3 linked regions of the Astyanax mexicanus genome follow. The protein of the gene in region 2 interacts with the protein of the main gene of each other region in a biochemical or structural test. Links are inferred from orthologs where the notes say so. Each region holds a gene or a part of one and is shown on either strand. Other genes may lie near its edges. The genes, in order: ATR-interacting protein, atr and rpa1.

What was found.
Region 1: the proteins of atr (region 2) and ATR-interacting protein form a complex in vitro, tested with the Homo sapiens proteins (4 studies listed by BioGRID and IntAct, with this or other methods). The link is inferred for Astyanax mexicanus from reciprocal best matches to the Homo sapiens genes ATR and ATRIP.
Region 3: the proteins of atr (region 2) and rpa1 form a complex in vitro, tested with the Homo sapiens proteins (2 studies listed by BioGRID, with this or other methods). The link is inferred for Astyanax mexicanus from reciprocal best matches to the Homo sapiens genes ATR and RPA1.

What each region holds. Positions count from the first base shown.
Region 1 is NC_064431.1:12,685,032-12,691,360, reverse strand, and holds the start of ATR-interacting protein, read right to left. Parts: upstream 3,586-6,329; 5' UTR 3,298-3,585; intron 2,371-3,297; exon of another isoform or gene 2,080-2,370; intron 1,716-2,079; 5' UTR 1,702-1,715; coding exon 1,386-1,701; intron 382-1,385; coding exon 302-381; intron 163-301; coding exon 1-162. Other genes in the region: si:dkey-42i9.4 (protein BTG1), read left to right, coding at 5,754-5,871. UniProt on the Homo sapiens protein: Required for checkpoint signaling after DNA damage. Required for ATR expression, possibly by stabilizing the protein.
Region 2 is NC_064411.1:57,786,665-57,792,993, forward strand, and holds the start of atr (serine/threonine-protein kinase ATR), read left to right. Parts: upstream 1-2,738; 5' UTR 2,739-2,753; coding exon 2,754-2,818; intron 2,819-3,047; coding exon of another isoform or gene 3,048-3,120; intron 3,121-4,161; coding exon of another isoform or gene 4,162-4,243; exon of another isoform or gene 4,244-4,355; intron 4,356-4,460; coding exon of another isoform or gene 4,461-4,542; exon of another isoform or gene 4,543-4,595; intron 4,596-6,165; exon of another isoform or gene 6,166-6,308; coding exon of another isoform or gene 6,309-6,329. Other genes in the region: zgc:110269 (probable flap endonuclease 1 homolog), read right to left, coding at 1-46, 1,086-1,222, 1,311-1,372, 1,482-1,536, 1,615-1,717, 3,048-3,120, 4,162-4,243. UniProt on the Homo sapiens protein: Serine/threonine protein kinase which activates checkpoint signaling upon genotoxic stresses such as ionizing radiation (IR), ultraviolet light (UV), or DNA replication stalling, thereby acting as a DNA damage sensor.
Region 3 is NC_064425.1:14,363,615-14,369,943, reverse strand, and holds the start of rpa1 (replication protein A 70 kDa DNA-binding subunit), read right to left. Parts: upstream 4,797-6,329; 5' UTR 4,678-4,796; coding exon 4,645-4,677; intron 3,282-4,644; coding exon 3,234-3,281; intron 2,771-3,233; coding exon 2,692-2,770; intron 511-2,691; coding exon 402-510; intron 1-401. UniProt on the Homo sapiens protein: As part of the heterotrimeric replication protein A complex (RPA/RP-A), binds and stabilizes single-stranded DNA intermediates that form during DNA replication or upon DNA stress.

The sequences.
Region 1 (6,329 bases), on a different chromosome or scaffold from region 2:
AAGTTCCTTCTCTTTCTCACTCTGCACATTGGCTCTTTCCCTTTCCAACGCAACATTAGCCTGTCTCTGCTGCTCCTTCTCCTGATTAGCCAGTTTAAGCGAGTCTCGCAAGACCCTAATCTCACCATTCTTCATTAAGATCTGGTCCTCCACCTCCTTTAGCTGCATTAAACACAACAATTAAACACACACAATAGGTACTGATTTATAAAAGTACATAAATTATGCCAAAAAGTACACACAGAGGCTTTCAATCAATTATGTATATTAATCACAATGGCATCGATTAATGTTCAAATACCTTTCTCTTTAACTCTGCTTGTTGAGCCTCCAGTCTGCTGTAATCCAGCTCATCTCTGTCTTTAGACAACTGACCATTTCCTTCAAAACAAAGAAAACGCTGAGTATTCTGGAGTATGTTATTACAACAGTATTTATAATACTGTGACCATAGTGATCAGGGCATCCATGCACAAAAAACAAAAACAAACAAACGAAAAAAAAACGTATGGCCTATTATGACAATTACATCATCATAATTTCGGCTGACATTAATTTTGCACATTTGTTATCTTAGAAAATGAGCAGTAATTTTGTAAATTAAACAGCTGATCCCGTTTAATAGGATGCTGAATACTGAAAAACTGAGCCAATCACATTCTCATTTTCAACTCCCCTAACACTGCCTAGCCAATTACAGCTGCTGCAAACAGTCAGCAAATAGATGGTCATCCTGTTAAATGTGGATGTTTAAACTTCTGTTCATTGCTGAGAAAATACTACATTTGTTACATTATGTGAAATATTTGCCAATCAAATAAAAGTGGAAATAAAAATAAAAAGCCTTCTGTTATATGTTTTATTTCATTTTATTTTATTTATCTATTTAAATTGTTCACAATAAGTAATGATATAGGTTCTACAGTCGCATAAGTGTTTTTATAAAGTTGTATTATTTCTACACATACACATAAAAAAATTAAGAAATGAATAAGTAATTAATTTTAAAAAAGTGTGCTCAGGTGCTTTGTGGGCTTGCCCACAGTGATGTCAGTCCAAAATCTTTAAAATGCTTACCAAACTTTTTCCTAACACTGTAAAACCCTTCCACACACACATGCACACACCCCTGGGCTGTGATCCAGCATTTTCCAAAGTAATAGATATGGTTTACTGATATTCTTGTGATGGTAAATGCAATACATTTCTCACAGAAATGTACTTCTTTCCTAGCAAAGCAGAGTCTGTTGATGCAGCAAAGGGGGACAATCTACCTTTTATTTCTCTTGATTTCAGTAGAAACACTGGGTAACCAGGTGTCTAACATTTGGAGATATGGTGAATACAGTATGTGCATACTGGATTTCTGTGTTTTTTATACTAACCGAATGAATCATGGCGCTGGCGCTCCATATTGTTATACATGCTGCTGGTGCTTGAGCTGCTGCTGCTCCCGATGGCAAAAGTCTTTCTGCCCTGCTTTACGGGGGCTTTGCTCTGCTCTGCTGGATGTGATGAAATGGATGCAAATGTCCTTTTCGTACTTGTAAGGTGACCATCTCCTGTAATAGCCTGCGATGCTATAATATCAATCTCTTCCAGGTTATCCTGTGTAAAGTCCTCATCATCCCCAAAGGGGTCCTGCTCCACTGGAGCTGTGTTCTGTGGGCCTCTGAGGCGTTTGCTTGGAGGATACTCCATGTCATTGGAAGCTTCTGTGGAAATTGAAAGAACATGTTGAATGTAGTACATTTTAAAGCAATAGAGGTCTGTCAAATATCCAAAAAGATTTTGCAAATATCAAGCAAACAGCTAATATGTGGCAATATAGACGCTGCTCCAAAAATAAAGGAAACAGTAAAACAGAACAGTCTAACTTAAAATCAACCATTGAGAAAACAATCAAATTCACTTGCTGTTGTGCAAATATAACAGACAACAGGTAGAAATAAGAAGCAATTAGTAAGACAACCTCTATAAAGTAGTGGTTCTGAAGGTGGCAACTACACACCTTTTCTCTGTTCTCATGCTTTCTGGGTGATGTTTTGGTCATTTTTGCATTTTTGTTAGTGCGCTCACCCTAGAGGAAGTAGTTTGCTCAGGTAGTGCAGCTCATGTAGGATGGCACAACAACGCGAGCTGTTAAAAGAAGGTTTGCTGTGTCTGTCAGCACAGTGTCCAGAGCATGGAGCAGATACCAGAATATGCGGGGTGACTGGCATTTGCCAGAAAACGCCAAGATTAACAGATTTGTTATTGGCTCTTGAGATGCCATGGAGAATGTTCTGCTGCTGCATCATCCTCCAGCATGACTGGTTTGGCAGTGGGTCAGTAATGGCGTGGGGAGGAATTTTTTTGGAAGGCCGCACAGCTAGCCAGAGGTACCCAGACTGCCATTAGGTACAGGGATGAGATCCATATGATGAAAAGATTTTCAACTGAAATATTTCATTAATTGAGATCTAGGATGTGTTATCTTAGTGTTTCCTTTATTTTTGAGCAGTGTATATTGTTATTGTGAGGCATTACATCACAATACACTTTTTTTTATTTAATGTAGATATTGTCAGTACTACAGTAAATTTGTCCTGCTTAACTGCATCACAGTATGCAAAATATGAATAAGACTTCACTGTGTTCAAAGTATTTGAAGTATTTTGACATTACTAGTTATTTAATTAGTTATTTAATTTGTTTCAACTGCCTAGATGTTAGTTTAAACAAATATGTAAGTGATTTCTTGTTTTTTTGTTTTTTTTTTATTAAACCTTTAATTTCACCTGGCGTGTCATTAAAAACGTATAGTTCTTATTTACAATAATGGCACATAAAAACTGTAAAAGTAAATGCATAAGCCCATCAAACATTTACTTGCATTGGTTAAGCTATATTCAGTCCTATTCACAGTCCAACTGTCCATTCCACCTTAAAAAAATACATGTGCCTAAATAAAACTGCTGCACTTTTTAAGGTGGACTGAGAAGTTTCAACAAATTTCAGATAAAAAAGGGTCAAAGGTGATTTTATAATGGTTAACTACCAAACCTTATTAAATATGTTAACCTCTCTCTAATATCTCTAATATCTCCAGTTAAGGAAAGGAGAATAAATTGATACTATTGTCTTTTTGTGGGACTCATAACACATGCTATGCTAGCTAACGCTAACTGACCTAGCTAAGCTCACAGACAGAAAGCAGCGCGGAGAGTCGCCAAGTTTAACAGGAGTAAGAGGAGATAAAATACTGTATAATAAAGCTGTTAGATAAGTTCAGTGTAATGTGTATTAGTTACTTACTGAGACAGAGGCGCAGGTTAATTCGGAGCGGGTTAGCCTGTAGCTAACAGTGAGAGTACAGCAGCGGCTAACTCCAGCTCTAGTAAAACCAGCATTTTACTGCGCGAGTCTGGGTTCACATCTGCAGATGTAGTTTATAACAGAAAGCCGGGTTCGGACCGGCCATACTGGACAACGGCTGAAAGCTCTCTAAAGCAGCAGGTTCAGAAAAACTAGCTGAACTTCAGCGGATGAATATCTCTGAGGGAGAAGGCGCCGCTTGTTTCGAGCGCAGTCAAGCATGGACGCTGTTGATTGGTCAATTCCGCAGTCTCCAGCAATGATGCAGGAAAATCGGCTAATCTAATTGGTCAGTGCACGGAGGGTCAGTATAACATTTATTATCAGTTTAATTTTCTGACCATTTGAAGTTAAATACTCGAAATGTGTGTGTAAATCTCAAATATATTTTTTATTTTTTTCTATTTAAAATAGTAAAGAAAAATATGTATCTATTATTTAATTTTCAAGCATTTTTTGTGTTTCGGAAACAATTTTACAAATTTTTTAGGAGAATTTGATATTTTCTCAATTTTAAGATTTTTCCATTTTTACATCTTGTATCAAATGTAATGATATAACTCAAATTACTTTTGTTGCAAGAAAATAAAGAAAATATACATTTTACCTGATTACAGATACATACATCTGATTCTGCAGGTGCACAAGAAGAAGAAACAAATTAAAGAAAATTGGGAAATGGACAAAACCCATTTCTTCTACACTTAAAGAAATAATGAAGTTTTACACCCAATTATCTGTTTTCTGATTTAGCCCGAACATTTTAACTTAGAAATGGTACACTGACCACAGAGAAACTCAGAAACATGCATAGTAGTTTTGTGACAACACACGTGGGCAGTCATTGCTGCGGCACCTTGGAAACAATGAGGGTTAAGGACTTTCCTCAAGGGCCCAACAGTAGTGGCCTGCAAAACACAGGTATCAAACCCACAACCTTGTTGTCAATTCACTCACCCATGCAAATCAATGAACTCATGTTTCAATCATTTCCATGGCCGCAGGTGTATACACCAAGCATCCATAGGCATTTTAGGCATCCATATGATGTCACCTCTGCAACAAGCGCAGTCATAAAATTTCCTCACGACTAAATATTCCACAGTCAACTGTCAGTGTTATAATAAAGTGGAAGCGACTGGAAACAGCAGCTCACTCTGTCAACATAAAATAACAGAACAGGGCCAGCAGATTTTCTGCAGAATCAGCCACTATAGACCGCCAAACTCCATGTGGTCTTCAGATTAGCTAGAGAAGAGTAGCACATAAAGAGCTTAATGCAATGGGTTTTAATGGCTCTAAAAAAAACTAGTTCGTTTTGTTTAGTTGAGGGGACAATTAATACAATTCAGTAAAAAATTCTCTATATATTCACTATTTTTATGAGATGATACACAATACAACATATTAGGGGCTTCATCAGGGGCAATATAGTTAAGCAAAATTAACAAAACTGTTAAAAACAAACTGTTCAAAGCTGTCACTGGTCTTTAATTTTTAATGTTTTAATGTTAATGGATGCCCATTTACCTAAATAGACAGATGAGACAGATGTGCACATATACATATTTTTACAGTCTATTTTTTTTTTTTACAGCAGTTTTGATTTTGGCCATTTGTTTTATTTATAAATTATCAGTGTTTGGCCTTGATAATACTAGGGAAAATAATGGGGAACAATCACAACAATGTCATCATTTAGTGATTTAATGAAACACCTCATACAGAAATTACACATAACTGAGAATAAATCACTTTTTTAAAAAGAAATGAGCTTATATAACGTGTTAAGAAATACATAATACATTTTGGTTTGTCCTGCGTTGTTCATTATTATTATTATTATTATTATTATTATTATTATTATTATTATTATTATTATTATTATTATTATTATTATTATTATTATTATGCAGGTAATAGTCAATGAATGAGAGAGCTGTGTGTAAATACACCGTGTTTGTGACGCGGTTGGCTTCGGCGGCAGCTGATTGGTGGAGGCGCTGCTGTAGCGCTCGCGGTGTTTACCAGCTGAGCAGCTCCAGCAGTGTGGCAGTTGGTCTGTGGAGGGACGGGGAGAAGTTTTAGATCGATAAAAAGTCGATAATTTGCACTTTTCCGTGGTTTTAGCGGTCAAAGGGTTACACCGGGAAAAGCAGGAGCTTCTCTACAGCGCAGCTGGATGAGCGGGAATCTGTAAGTGCTGTTTTAGCGCCGTTTTCTCTTCGTGTTTTGAACAAAGGAAAATCTGCCAGCAGCAGCAACAGCAGTACTGCAGGCCTGATCCCTGAACCCAGCTTTCCCTCTCTTAGCCCTGATACCTGCTCTAATAACTCTCTTATTCACACCTAACCCCTGTTCTTATCGTTTTACAGTTTGAGAAATAATATTTCACCATGAAAACCGAGGTTTCCACGGCTGTGAACTTCATTAGCACACTGCTGAGAGGGACTGGGCTTCTCTCAGAGGAGCAGCTGCACCACTTCAGCCTGTCTCTAGAGGAAGCTTTAGGAGGTAAAACACACAGTATTTACAGTTAAAACACTGCTAATAATCTTTATAGTCTCCCTAAGCAGTTCTTTTTGTCTATAAATGAATATGTTTCATTTGTCAATATCTACTGGTCTATACCGTCTCTAAGCTTTCTTACTTGGGCTCAAATAAAACACATTAACTCCAAAAAAAGTGTCTGAAAAGTGAATTTTACATAAGATATCAAATTAAATCCAGCCTGTTTGGTAAAAAGAACATCATAACGTAAGATAATGAAAAACATACACTTGTCTATAAATGAATATCCCGAGTTTTAGTACTAAACAATGAAACAAAACAATGCTTTACTTTAGGCATCATGTAAAGACAATTACTTGCATCATAATATGACAAGGTTAGTAATGATTGTACATTTGATTAGTCATTTTGTAAACAAAATTCCAAATAATTAATGCACCTGTCTCGAAATAAGCGTAATG
Region 2 (6,329 bases):
CTGCAAAGTTTCCAGTAGTTTTGGTAAGGAGTATTCTGTGACCTCACTGAAAAATCAGAACAATTTTCAAATTATTTAATGTGAGTCAGAACAGACGCATGTTGCAAATGCATAACAATGGTTTAAAAGGTGTACTCCTCTTTTAATTTGACTTTTATAAGCTTTATTCTTAAATAAATACTGTTTACAATACAGGAAGTGAGGGAGAGAGCCGTCAGAGAGAGCTGACATATGGCAGGTTTAAGTTCATTTTTTAATCTACTGACATAAATTACACTAAACAAAGTATTCACCATTACTTAACACACTTTATCAGTTTACTCAGTTTATTACCTTTTCACAAACCTTCTGTTTTCAAGCTGAGAGATACAAAGCTGTACAGGACTAGCATAGTGAAGTTAGTCAAGGTAATGTAGCCTTAACGTATTCTTTCTCTATATACATTCCAAGTTATCTAGCTACATATGACTAGAGAAGCACTGCTGAGGAAAATGTATGATTAGACTAGCATTGCCTTAGTTGAATGTATGATTAGAATATCACTACTGAGGTAAATGTATGATTAGAATAGGAATGTTAAGGTAAATCTATGCTTAGAATCGCAATGCTGATGTAAATGTATGATTAGAATATCACTGCTGAGGTAAGTTTATGATTAGGATAGCACTGCTGATGTAAATGTATAATTAGAATAGCATTGCTGATGTAAATGTATAATTAGAATAGCATTGCTGATGTAAATGTATAATTAGAATAGCATTGCTAATGTAAATATATAATTAGAATAAATCTGCTGATGTAAATGTATGATTAGAATAGCGCTACTGAGGTAAATGTATGATTAAAATAGCATTGCTATTGTAAATTTATGATTGGAATAACACTGCTGAGGTAAATATATGATTAGAATAGCAGTGCTGATGTAAATGTTTGAATGGAATAGCACTGCTGAGGTAAATGTACGTTTAGAATAGTACTTCTGTACTGCTCTATGATTAGAATGGCACTGCTGATGTACGTTTATGATTATGATACCATAGATGGACAGATAGTAGACTGTATTAATGGTTGTACTGGTTGTTCACCTGTCTCTCTTGGCGTTGAGCTGGCGTAGAAGGGTGGTACCTCCGAACGCCAGCGTGTCCATGTCCTCAGAGGCCACAGCGTCCACCACCCCACCTCTGACCAGGTGAGCACACAGCGCCTCACCATCTGCAGGAGCCTGACCAATCAGAGAGCACAGAGACTATAATACAGTACTATAATACAGGAGAAATTTAGTTATAGATAAGAAATAAATGTGTAGTTACCATGATAAAGGGCATTCCCATCAGCTGCACGAGACGGAGGAATTCCTGGGTTTTGGTGGACACTAGAATTGAAAAAATATTTGAACACACAGAATCTATATATATATATATATATATATATATATATATACGTATATATATATATAAAATATCTGGTGTTGCTCTTCTTACCGGTGTTGGAGCGATAGGAGCTGTTCCAGCCGGCGCTCTGAGCTCTTTTCTCCAGCTAACACAACACAAACTACGCGTTACTGCAAAATTAAAAAGGACTTCTCGATTTAACTTTAAAAAATCTGATTCTCACCACAGCTCTCTTCTGATTGGGCGGCTTCCCGTCAAACACGAAGACCGGCTTGATGTCATGTTCAAGGAAAGTAAGGGTGCGGTAGAACAGGCCGAGTAGAGGACTGTGAAGAAAACTGAATTATTAGGACTAAAGTAAATGTGTATATACAGGGGTTGGACAATGAAACTGAAACACCTGTCATCATTTTAGTGTGGGATTTTAGGTTTCATGTCTAAATTGGAGCAGCCTGGTGTTCAATCTTCATTAATTGCACATTGCACCAGTAAGAGCAGAGTGTGAAGGTTCAATTAGCAGGGTAAGAGCACAGTTCTGCTCTAAATATTACAATGCACACAACATTATGGGTGACATACCAGAGTTCAAAAGAGGACAAATTGTTGGTGCACGTCTTGCTGGAGCATCTGTGACCAAGACAGCAAGTCTTTGTGATGCATCAAGAGCCACGGTATCCAGGGTAATGTCAGCATACCACCAAGAAGAACTAACCACATCCAACAGGATTAACTGTGGACGCTGTAAGAGGAAGCTGTCTGAAAGGGATGTTCGGGTGCTAACCCGGATTGTATCCAAAAAACATAAAACCACGTCTGATCAAATCACGCAGAATTCAATGTTCACCTCAACTCTCCTGTTTCCACCAGAACTGTCCGTCACCACAATCAATTACTGTGCTCTAAAACCAGGTGTTTCAGTTTCATTATCCAACTCCTGTATCTGTATAACTGCTTTAGAACCACTTATATTAATAATTAATAAATAATGTATGAATTTGTAGTATGTTAAGAATACATTCCATATTACAACCCAGAAACTTTCATTATTATTATTATTATGCTAAAAGAATTTGCCCCAGCTTTCTACGAGACTGTACAAGTAAAAATGACTATTATACATATTTAATGTAAAATCGATGTTCACAAATGTCAGAGATCAACATTGTTTCAATGCATTAGAGATGGAAAAATTAACGTTGATTCAACGTCCCTTTGATTTCTGGGTATGCTAGTAATTCATATATAAACCATGTATTAACATACCAGTCCTGCATACATTTTTATAAACCTTTCCTAACCTTTAAAAATGCTTTTATTGTGGTAATTTCTGCCTCTGCAGCTCCTCTCAGGTTCAACTGTGCTATGGGCGAGGATGATGTTTCCGCCCGTAAACCCATCCATCATCCAGGGGGGAGTCTAAAATCAGGGTGGGTTGTTACCCTTTAAATAACATAGAGAACATTTCTATTGATTTTAGGTCTTGCTGATCAATAAGCTTGGTCAGGTTTGGGCAGAAAAATATACCTTACCATCGGGTCAACCATCTTAACCACCCTATCCACCTTAACAACCATATCCACCTTAACCACCTGAACCTGTCCATGCTTTTCGCTCAGTCATGATATAATAACATTATGGGATTCAGGGTTCTCTCACCTGTATGGCAGACCGGGCACAGCTGAGCGAAACTGGTTCACAACAATGGAAGTATCGAGAGCGATAACCTTTCCTACAACACAAAAAACACATAAAAAACAGATATTAAATATATAGTTAAATAATGATCTACATCATATATCAGCATTTCAGCACAATCAGAACCCTCATTCAGAAATACTGGGAAATGTATTAACTAGATAGATTTAAAGAGTTAGAAATAGCTAAATAGCTATGCTGTTAATTCTGCCTTAACTGGGGCAGTTCTGATGAGTGCCAGTTTTATCATTATAATGTTTCGGATAAGAGAGCACTTAAAAATGATGATTTTCTTTGATTTTAACAAATTGAAAACCTCTGGAATATAATCAAGAGGAAGATGGATGATCACAAACCATCAAACCACCAAACTGAACTGCTTGAATTTTTGCACCAGGAGTAAAGCAGCATAAAGTTATCCAAAAGCAGTGTGTAAGACTGGTGGAGGAGAACATGATGCCAAGATGCATGAAAAAAAACCTGTGATTAAAAACCAGGGTTATTCCACCAAATATTGATTATTTCTGAACTCTTAAAACTTTATGAATATGAACTTGTTTTCTTTGCATTATTTGAGGTCTGAAAGCTCTGCATCTTTTTTGTTATTTCAGTAATTTCTCATTTTCTGTAAATAAATGCTCTAAATGAGAATATTTTTATTTGGAATTTGGGAGAAATGTTGTCTGTAGTTTATAGAATAAAACAACATTGTTCATTTTACTCAAACATAAACCTATAAATAGCAAAATCAGAGAAACTGATTTTATTGAGGGAATGAGAAAAGAGGAAAAACATGTTAAAACAGGACAAATCCAATCAGTGAAAACAATATTGTGAAAACAATATCCAGTATAAAAGCACAGAAATAATAGACGGAAAAATAAATGTATAAAACTAAATAAAATGACCCAACAAAAAAATTAGTATTTCATTTTTCTTCCTACTGCTTACTTCGTCCTTCGCATATTTTTTCTTTTTCCAACTTAATTATTATTATTTAGCTAGGCTAAGCTATGCTGAGCTATGCTATGCTAAGTGCAATCTGTCTGTTTTAACTGTATTTATCAGGTGTTACCGGTGTAATCTCCGATTTCCTTGTGAGAAATAGAACCAGGAGCTTCACTCCGAATTAAATCTGCCAGTTTAGTGATTCCCATTCTAAAAGATTCGATTTAAAATGCTATAATTAAATAAAGCTAAAAACAAAACAAAACAAACAAAGCTAAAGTCTACTTCATGTTCGAACTTCCTGTTCCACCTTAAATGTTTCAGCCAGCAGTGGCGTTCTGGCGCCAGCTGCTGCACCATTTAAGGTGGAACGGAGAGTTCCAAAAAAACATATATCATAATTTAACTGTATTTATCGGGTGTTACCGGTATAATCTCCGATTTCCTTGTGAGAAACAGAACTACGAGCTTCATTCCGAATTAAATCTGCCAGTTTTGTGATTCCCATTCTAAAAGATTCGATTTATTAAGTACATTGATAGCTAAGCGCTAAGACTTTTATTTTAAGACCTTTATTTTGTCAGGAAGCCGCAGCGCAGCCTCCCGTTCACCCCGTTTCCAGGGCAACTGCTCGTTTGCTCATTAACCCGTTGCTTCCCGGTATGAATTCAGTTAAGCGGTCCCAGTTCTGATGTTCTGATTGGTGTTTTGCTGGAGTTTAACTTTAAATATAACTTTACAGCAATTTTATTGTGGCTTAGAATATATATATATATATATATATATATATATATATATATATATATATATATATATATATATATATATATATATTCAATAACATATATATATATATATATATATATATATTATTGTGTAGAGTTCTGAGCCACATATATGTATGTGGCTCAGAACTCTACACAATTCTACATTTGGAAGAAAAAATAAATATATATATCATATTAAAGGGTATATATTAAGGGGACACTCTTGCTCTTCTATCCTTTCCTGGGACGGTCCTGATGAGTACCAGTTTCACCATTTTACCGATTTTTATGTGTTTTTTTTTGCGATGACTGCACTTGAGGATACTTTCTTGGAAAATTCTTGAAATTCTTTTTTTCGGATTGACTGACCTTCACTGTTCTTTATTTAGTTGAGTAGTTGTTGCTTCTCATAATCTGGATTAGAACATTACTGAAATATTCACTATTCACTGTATACCTGTAACTCTACCTCTTCACTACTTTACTTTAACTGATGCTCTCAAACACTTTATTAAGAGACAAGAAATTCAAGTAATTAACTTTGATGAGTTCAGCACAGCTGTTAACTGAAAGTCTAAATTCCAGGAGACTCTACCTCATAAAACTGACTGAGAAAATCCAGCAGAGATGTTCAAAACTCATCATCTAAACAAGAGGAGATACTTTTTTTTAGTTAAGTAAGCTTTTAATAGTTTAATAAATAATTGCATATGTTGTTTCTTCATAGTTTTCATTAATACTCATTAAAGGTGCGCCCAAACTTTTGTATATCATTACTTAGCTAACTAAATTGGGTTAATCAATGATTTAGCACTGTTTAATTGTTTTAAACAATTGTATTTAAGTCATTCTTTCTAGAGTTAAAATAAAGCTATAAAAAGAAAGCAAATGCTCAAGTCATGTTGGAAATCTCTGTTTAAAAAAATTCCAGGTGACTCTACCTCATAAAGATAAAGCTTAATTCTGTATTTATATGTTTTAATAATGATAATCTAAAGTATAAAACATATTCTGGTTTGTTTAACAGTTTTAAGTTCACTAAATAATTCAGCATGTGTTCCTGTATAACTTTACTAAATAGGATTCAATGAGACTTTATTCTCATTTACATCACATGTAAAGATTAAATATAATAGTATAATAGAATAAAATATAATAGAATAAAATAAAATAGAATAAAATAGGTAGTTTTTCTTCATAGTTTGAATGAGTTTAGTAATAATCTACAATGCAGAACATTTTAAAATAATGCAAAACACTGAATTTAAGGTGTCTACCTTATATATAACGGCCCTGTTGCTGGAAATGAATGGGTTAAGGAAAAATCGCGTTTCGTAAATCCAGGACATGTCCCTGCCCGGCTGCCGTTAAGCGTGCAGCTTCTGAAGGTGGAGCTGCAGAGATGTAAACTCGAGCGGTTTCGCGGGTTATTAATAATAATGTATGTATTATTATAGATAATAAACTGCGTTTTTAGGCTGGTTTGGGTGTTTTTGGGCGGGTCAGGATGGAGGGGCTGGAGATGTCC
Region 3 (6,329 bases), on a different chromosome or scaffold from region 2:
CATTTCACCCGCAGCGAAAACCTGGATCAATAGATATTTCAGATTATCACAGACAGTAACAATATCTATGTGTCTCCGTTGTAATAAACTAAACACACACATTCGACAGTATTCTGAATAATCAGCACTCCACAGTGCTGTCGTTATGTTAAAAAGGTACATTAATGTTAATCTCATTGATTTGTTATAAGTTAAATTAACCCGCTCACCGCTCTAAAACCCTCCACCTGCTTTTTGGGCGAGGGTAACGTAGCGCTAAGTGCGCTGTTTCACATTAAAAGTCTGTGCTAATTTCCGTGCTCTGCGTTTTAAAATTAATTAAACAATTCCTCGAGGCACAGAAAATTAATCGATCAACTTTTTACAACACAGTAACTTCAAAGCAAAGGATGAGCCCTTACCGCCCATCCTTAAGGACGTTGGTGACACTTCTCTTCACTGTACAGACACAGTTTGGAGCTACCAGACTTTGCTCAGCCAGGTAGTTCAGCTGTGTGGAGAGCATGAAGGCTGCAAACAACAGAGAAATATTAGAGATATCAAGTAAGAAAACAAAAAGAATAGAACACCTGCACAGCTTTTTTTTCATGAATATATGAAAATTGGTAACATTCCTATGTTATCTCTTCAGCCTGGCTGGGTCTGGGGGTAGAGGCAATTTAAATGCACCACAACAGTGCTTCTTAATGCACAAGAAAATTGCTCTATAACTTATTCATAAGGTTTCGTGCCATCAACACTTTTACATCTCAGTAAATTAAAAGCAGGAAAGGGTATTGTTTTCATGGGGTTCTCTCTCTACTCTTTGATCACTTCAAGCCCAATCACTCCACAGCAGCCCTACTACCTCCTGATACATTGATCTCTGCAGCACCATGCACAACACATGTTGCTGTCCTAAAAATACTGCTAATACCATCCAGGTCTTTTTTACATAAACTACTCCCTTACATTAAAAGGTTTATGTCACAATTATTGGCATTACTGTGGTGCTCGCACATAAGGGGCCAGTTTGGACCAGTTTTCTCTGTAAAGCTGCTTTGTGATAACTTTTGTTGTAAAAAGCGCTATATAAATAAACCTGAATTAAATTGAATTAATTGAACATAGGCATGTCTTAAAGCTGGGAACATATGTAATACAAGTGACCCTGATCACATATCTGGATTTTTATTTTCCTTTAAAAGAGAATTTTGACTACATATAAACACCATTACTGGCAACTAATTTAACAAATTTAACAACAAATTTAGCTTTTTTTTGAAAATGAGGCTTAGTTTTTTTTTTTTTTTTTTAAATGTCAGAACTAGGGGTGGACGATATGGGGCTAAAATAACAGTGCGATATTTCATGGTATTTTCATGGTATATTTCATGGAATTAAGAAAACATATTTTAAGAGCACACTACTGCAACAAAATGAAATTATGATGTTTTTTATTAGTGCATATGAGCTGATATCGCACACCCCTTACTAAGATATTAAAAGATAGAACATTTTATCTGATTTGTAACATAAATCAGTGATCCAGAATGTCATAAATCTAATAATGCACTGCAAATATCTCCATAAATCCAGGATTAAAGTAAAATAAATGATACTGGACAGATATAATCTGTCTCTAGTAGATAAATAATGGAAAATGAGAACAGTGTACATTTTTCTTTTTACTAAAACCAGCTAGAAAGTAGTACCCTGATGTGATAATTAGGGGTGGATGATATGGCACCATATTTCAGGATATAATATAGTTTACGATATTCAAAAATGTTGGCGATATCACCTATGATACGCCATTCTAGTGCCAAGTAATTTTGTGACTGTATTGTCATACACTGCCTAGGGAGTAATTTTCTCTGCAGTGCTTTGATATCTTACTTGAGTTTCTATTACCTCATACAGATCTAGTATGCTAATGCAAGCATATTAGTCTCTGTGTGGACAAAAATGTTTTGTTTTTTTTAATGGAAGAAGGGTAATACGAGTTTTTAAAAATACCCATGTCTATTTTTCAAGAAAAAAAAATACCCTCTTCAATGAATAACCATATATCAACCATTTCTTCCATTTGTCAAAGGGGTTTAACTTGCAAGCGGAGGAAGTCAACAAATCCATACAGTGTCAGGGTGTTCACAGAGAAGTCAGTTGAGCACCAAACTTAAGTTGTATTAATCTAACCAGCATACCAATAACTGTTTGAAATATATGATCTGTTTTTGTATCCTTATTTACATTTATTCTAAACATTATATAGTGCAATTGTAAGACAACATTTTCATTTAATTGTCATGATTGAAACAGCCACTGAGTCATTTTAAAAACTCAGGCAGTCAAGAAAATTGTTTTGATGGTGAAGTACCTCTTCAATGTTAGGCTCATTATGTTTTGAAAATACCCAGAGATACTCACAAGGATACTCAACAAACACCAATTAAATTCAGATATGAGAAGCATAAGCAATGGATATAAAAATCACAGCACTTTATTATGTAACAGTTTAGTGAATTACTGGATAAACTATGCAAGCTCTAAGGAAAACAGAGTTCTTCAGAGAGATGCCATTAAGATACAATATGATACCTTTACCTAGAACTTTAGATCCAAATGAGGAAGCAAAAATCTATATACATATGCTTTGGTTTCATGTATAAGGTTAAATAGATCCCCTCCAACACACAAACACACACTTACAGGACATAGTATGAAGGCCATCACTCATCATGAGGCGAAAGCGGACTGGTCCACTGCCTCCATCAATCTTTCGGATATTCTGCAGAGAAAAAACAATTTTTATTTCACATACATGAGAATAAGGCTGCAAACCAAAAAAGCTCTAAAATTTGATTCATTTCTCATATTTGTGCAGGCTAAATTTAATATTTAACTAATGATAAAACAGGTTTATATTGAATCCTTTCATAAGCCAAAAACATTTATATTTGGATACCTACTAAACCTGTTTTGATGTCATCTGAGAATGATTTATGCCTGTCACATCATCAGTTTTATTTTGTTTTATAAATGTTATATTTAAATGCTGATGGTCTGTAAAAGAACGCTACTGCATTCTATTATATTTTTTCAGTAAAACAAACTTGGCTTACAATAAGATTGACAGGCCATAATTTTTCCTTAAAATCAAGAGAAGTAACAAGTGAAAACATCTAACACTCTCGTAAAAAAAAAAAAAAACACCAGCAGAAAAAAAACATGCAACTGACAGAAGAACTTACAACACATTGAAGCACTGGGTTTGAAACCTCACTACCTTTGATCAGGAGCTGAAATGATAGAACACACACAGTTAAGAAAAATACATACAAATACACAAAATAAAGTCTAATGAAATTTCTAAAAAATTGTCTTTCTGAGCTGAGTTTCCTTCAACTGACAGTTTTTAAAATCCATTAAAAAAACATCTAAAATACAAAGAAGTCCACCCAAAGAAAATATTTCTAAGGCATTCTATGGAGTTTGTCCAGATTGATTTAACTTAGTGACAGTCTATAGGTTTTTGGTGCGAAATAGTAATTGCACATAAGATGCTAAAAAGTACATTTAAAACATTTGATGGAACAAGTTTTTTTTTTTTTAAGGGGTGAAAAAATCTAAGTGTTGCAAAATCTACACGTTCACGGCTGCAAATAAATCTTTGTTGGAAATAATAAGAACTTTGTTATGATCAGAAAACCAATATTTTTCTTACACAGACAAATAAACAACAACTATAAGTCACACATTACAATAACAGGGAGAAACCACGAGTTCACGTTCAGAGAAAAGCATTTTCTTCTTATGTTGACCTTACACCTAACGATTTTCAAGTGATTTCAATGTCGCAGACACATTTCCAGAGTCGAAATAAAATCACGAGATGACAAATCAGAGTACTGATTTAACTTACACATTATGTGTAGCTTAATGTCACAAGTATTGTATGTAAACTCCACCAGAAGCATGATGGGAAATATTCTCAGATAATAATCTGAGCCTGTAATTAAAACGTCTTGTCTTTAGATGTGAGAGGGTGTCAGATTTTAGTCTGTTAAAAGTCTTTTTTTTTTTTAAGAGTTTTTTTTTCAACGTCGTGTAACTTAGTGTATGGACAGCATTAGAACCCCTTTTTCTTTAGGACGACAGGTTTGCAGTTCGGTGATTTCCCAGCGCACACGCGCCTCCTAGATCTGAATAATTGAATAGTTAAAAGTTTGGATTAGCTAAACTAGCTTAATTGTATTTACGAAGGGAAAACGGTGATTTAACCGAAAAGGCCACGCCGTTTGAATGACAACAGAACCGTTCCACCTTAAACTGTGCAGCGCCTGGACACCGTTTAAGGTGGAATAGACAATCCAAATAAAAATCGTTGGCGTACGGAAAGATTTTTCTACATATCCCATCATAACATGTACTCTTTAGAGCAGATTTTTTTCAGCATTCTCTACTTTACTGAGACACAGATTTCTCTAAATCACTAAGTTAGGTCGCCTGTTAGCTTTAGCTTTAGCTCCAGTTGCCGTTACTGAGCTGCTAGAACTACTTAGCGTTAGTTATTTAGCCAGGCTGACTCTGCGCTGCTCTCGGCCTTCTTATTTAACAGCTCTCACACTACGCTTTTACCCCTCTCGTTTACCCGGTACACACCTCTATAGCTCCTTCTGACAGTGTAACAGTCATGGCTGCGAGCTGGAGGAGAAATATCGGGGTTTAATATAAATTCTCAGCCGCTCCGCTCCCGCTCCGTGTTGTTGTTCTGAGTCGTGGCGCCAACTTTCAGTGTAAGCGCGCGCTCCGGCTTCTTGCATCACTTCCGCTGAAGGGTCGAAGGAGGAGGTCTTTTCCCCCCCAGTGACTACAGAGACTAGCATGTATACAGAGTTTTTAACACATATAACTATATAGTTTCTCTCTTATTTAGGGTATTTTAGGGTTAGCTAAAATGCTTAGGACTTTTATTCTAAAATAAATAAATATATTTACATCATAAAAATAATAGCTAATAAAAATTAAACCATTCGTCCTTTTTTATTATTATTTTTTACTCACTTTAAAGGAAGCCTTTTACGACAGCGTTTTAAAGCCACTCTTAAAATAATAAAAAAAACGGACTTCAAAAATATTAATAATATTACAAGAATAAACTTGCAACATTTCGCAAATAAAGTCGCAATATTTCGCAAATAAAGTAGTAAAATTCATACTTCTAGAATAAACTTATTTTTCAAAAAATAAGTTTGTAATATTTTGCACTTAAAGTAGTAATATTAAGAGAATAAAGGCGTACTATTTTGAAAATGAACACATAATATTTCAAGAATAAACTTATATTTAAAAAATAAACTCAATATTTTGCAAATAAAGTAGTAATATACGAATAAGCTTATATTTTGAAAATAAACTCATACTTCTACAATAAACTTATTATTTAAAAAAATAAACTCGTAATATTTAGAATAAACTTGTAACATTTTGCAGATAAAGTTGTAATATTTCAAATAAATTCAGAATATTTCTAGAATAAACTTGTAATATTTCGTGATTAAACTCATAATATTTCGAGATTTTAAAAAAATATTTTGAGAATAAACTATTGAGGATAAAGTAATTTATTTTAACACGAGGAGATTACTATATCGATTTGCAAACTCTTCGATCATAATAATGCAACTTTCCTGATTGCAATACAACTTTAATCTTAAAATATTATGACTTTATTCTCGAAATCAACTCTTTATTTTTTTACGCCATCATATGCTTCATACGCTTTAGTTAAACAGACAGAACAATTATTTCAATTAAGAAAACTTTTTTGAAGATTGAGGAAACAATTTATAAAAAAGTAAGGCAACATTTTTCAGCATCTATCATTTTTTTATTTGTAACAATAGAATTGTTTTACCATGATACTCTCTGGGCTCAGTAACAGCAAATTTAGTTGTTGTAGGTACACTATAAGAAAAGTTCCCACCTGTCGCGGAAGTTCAGGGAGTCTCCTACATTTTTAATTTACTCGTTCATTAACTCGTTTAACAACTAGCTGGCTAAGTGTTAAGGAGATACTGTACTCTGTGCACTTCATTGAAATTATGTTATATTTTATATTTTAAGTACAGATTTGAAGGACCTACACCCCCCCCCCTCCCCCCCTGAAATTAGTTTTTTCAGGGTGGGATGTCTGTATATGATTTGTAAAAACAATAGTTTGTTGGAAAAATAAAAAAAATATGAACCACAAACCACCACAATCAAAGAATAATATCTCAATTACCATGGCACAAACTGTTGTTTTATATTAATTGCACTGCATTACTTATTGCAGAAATGAAACA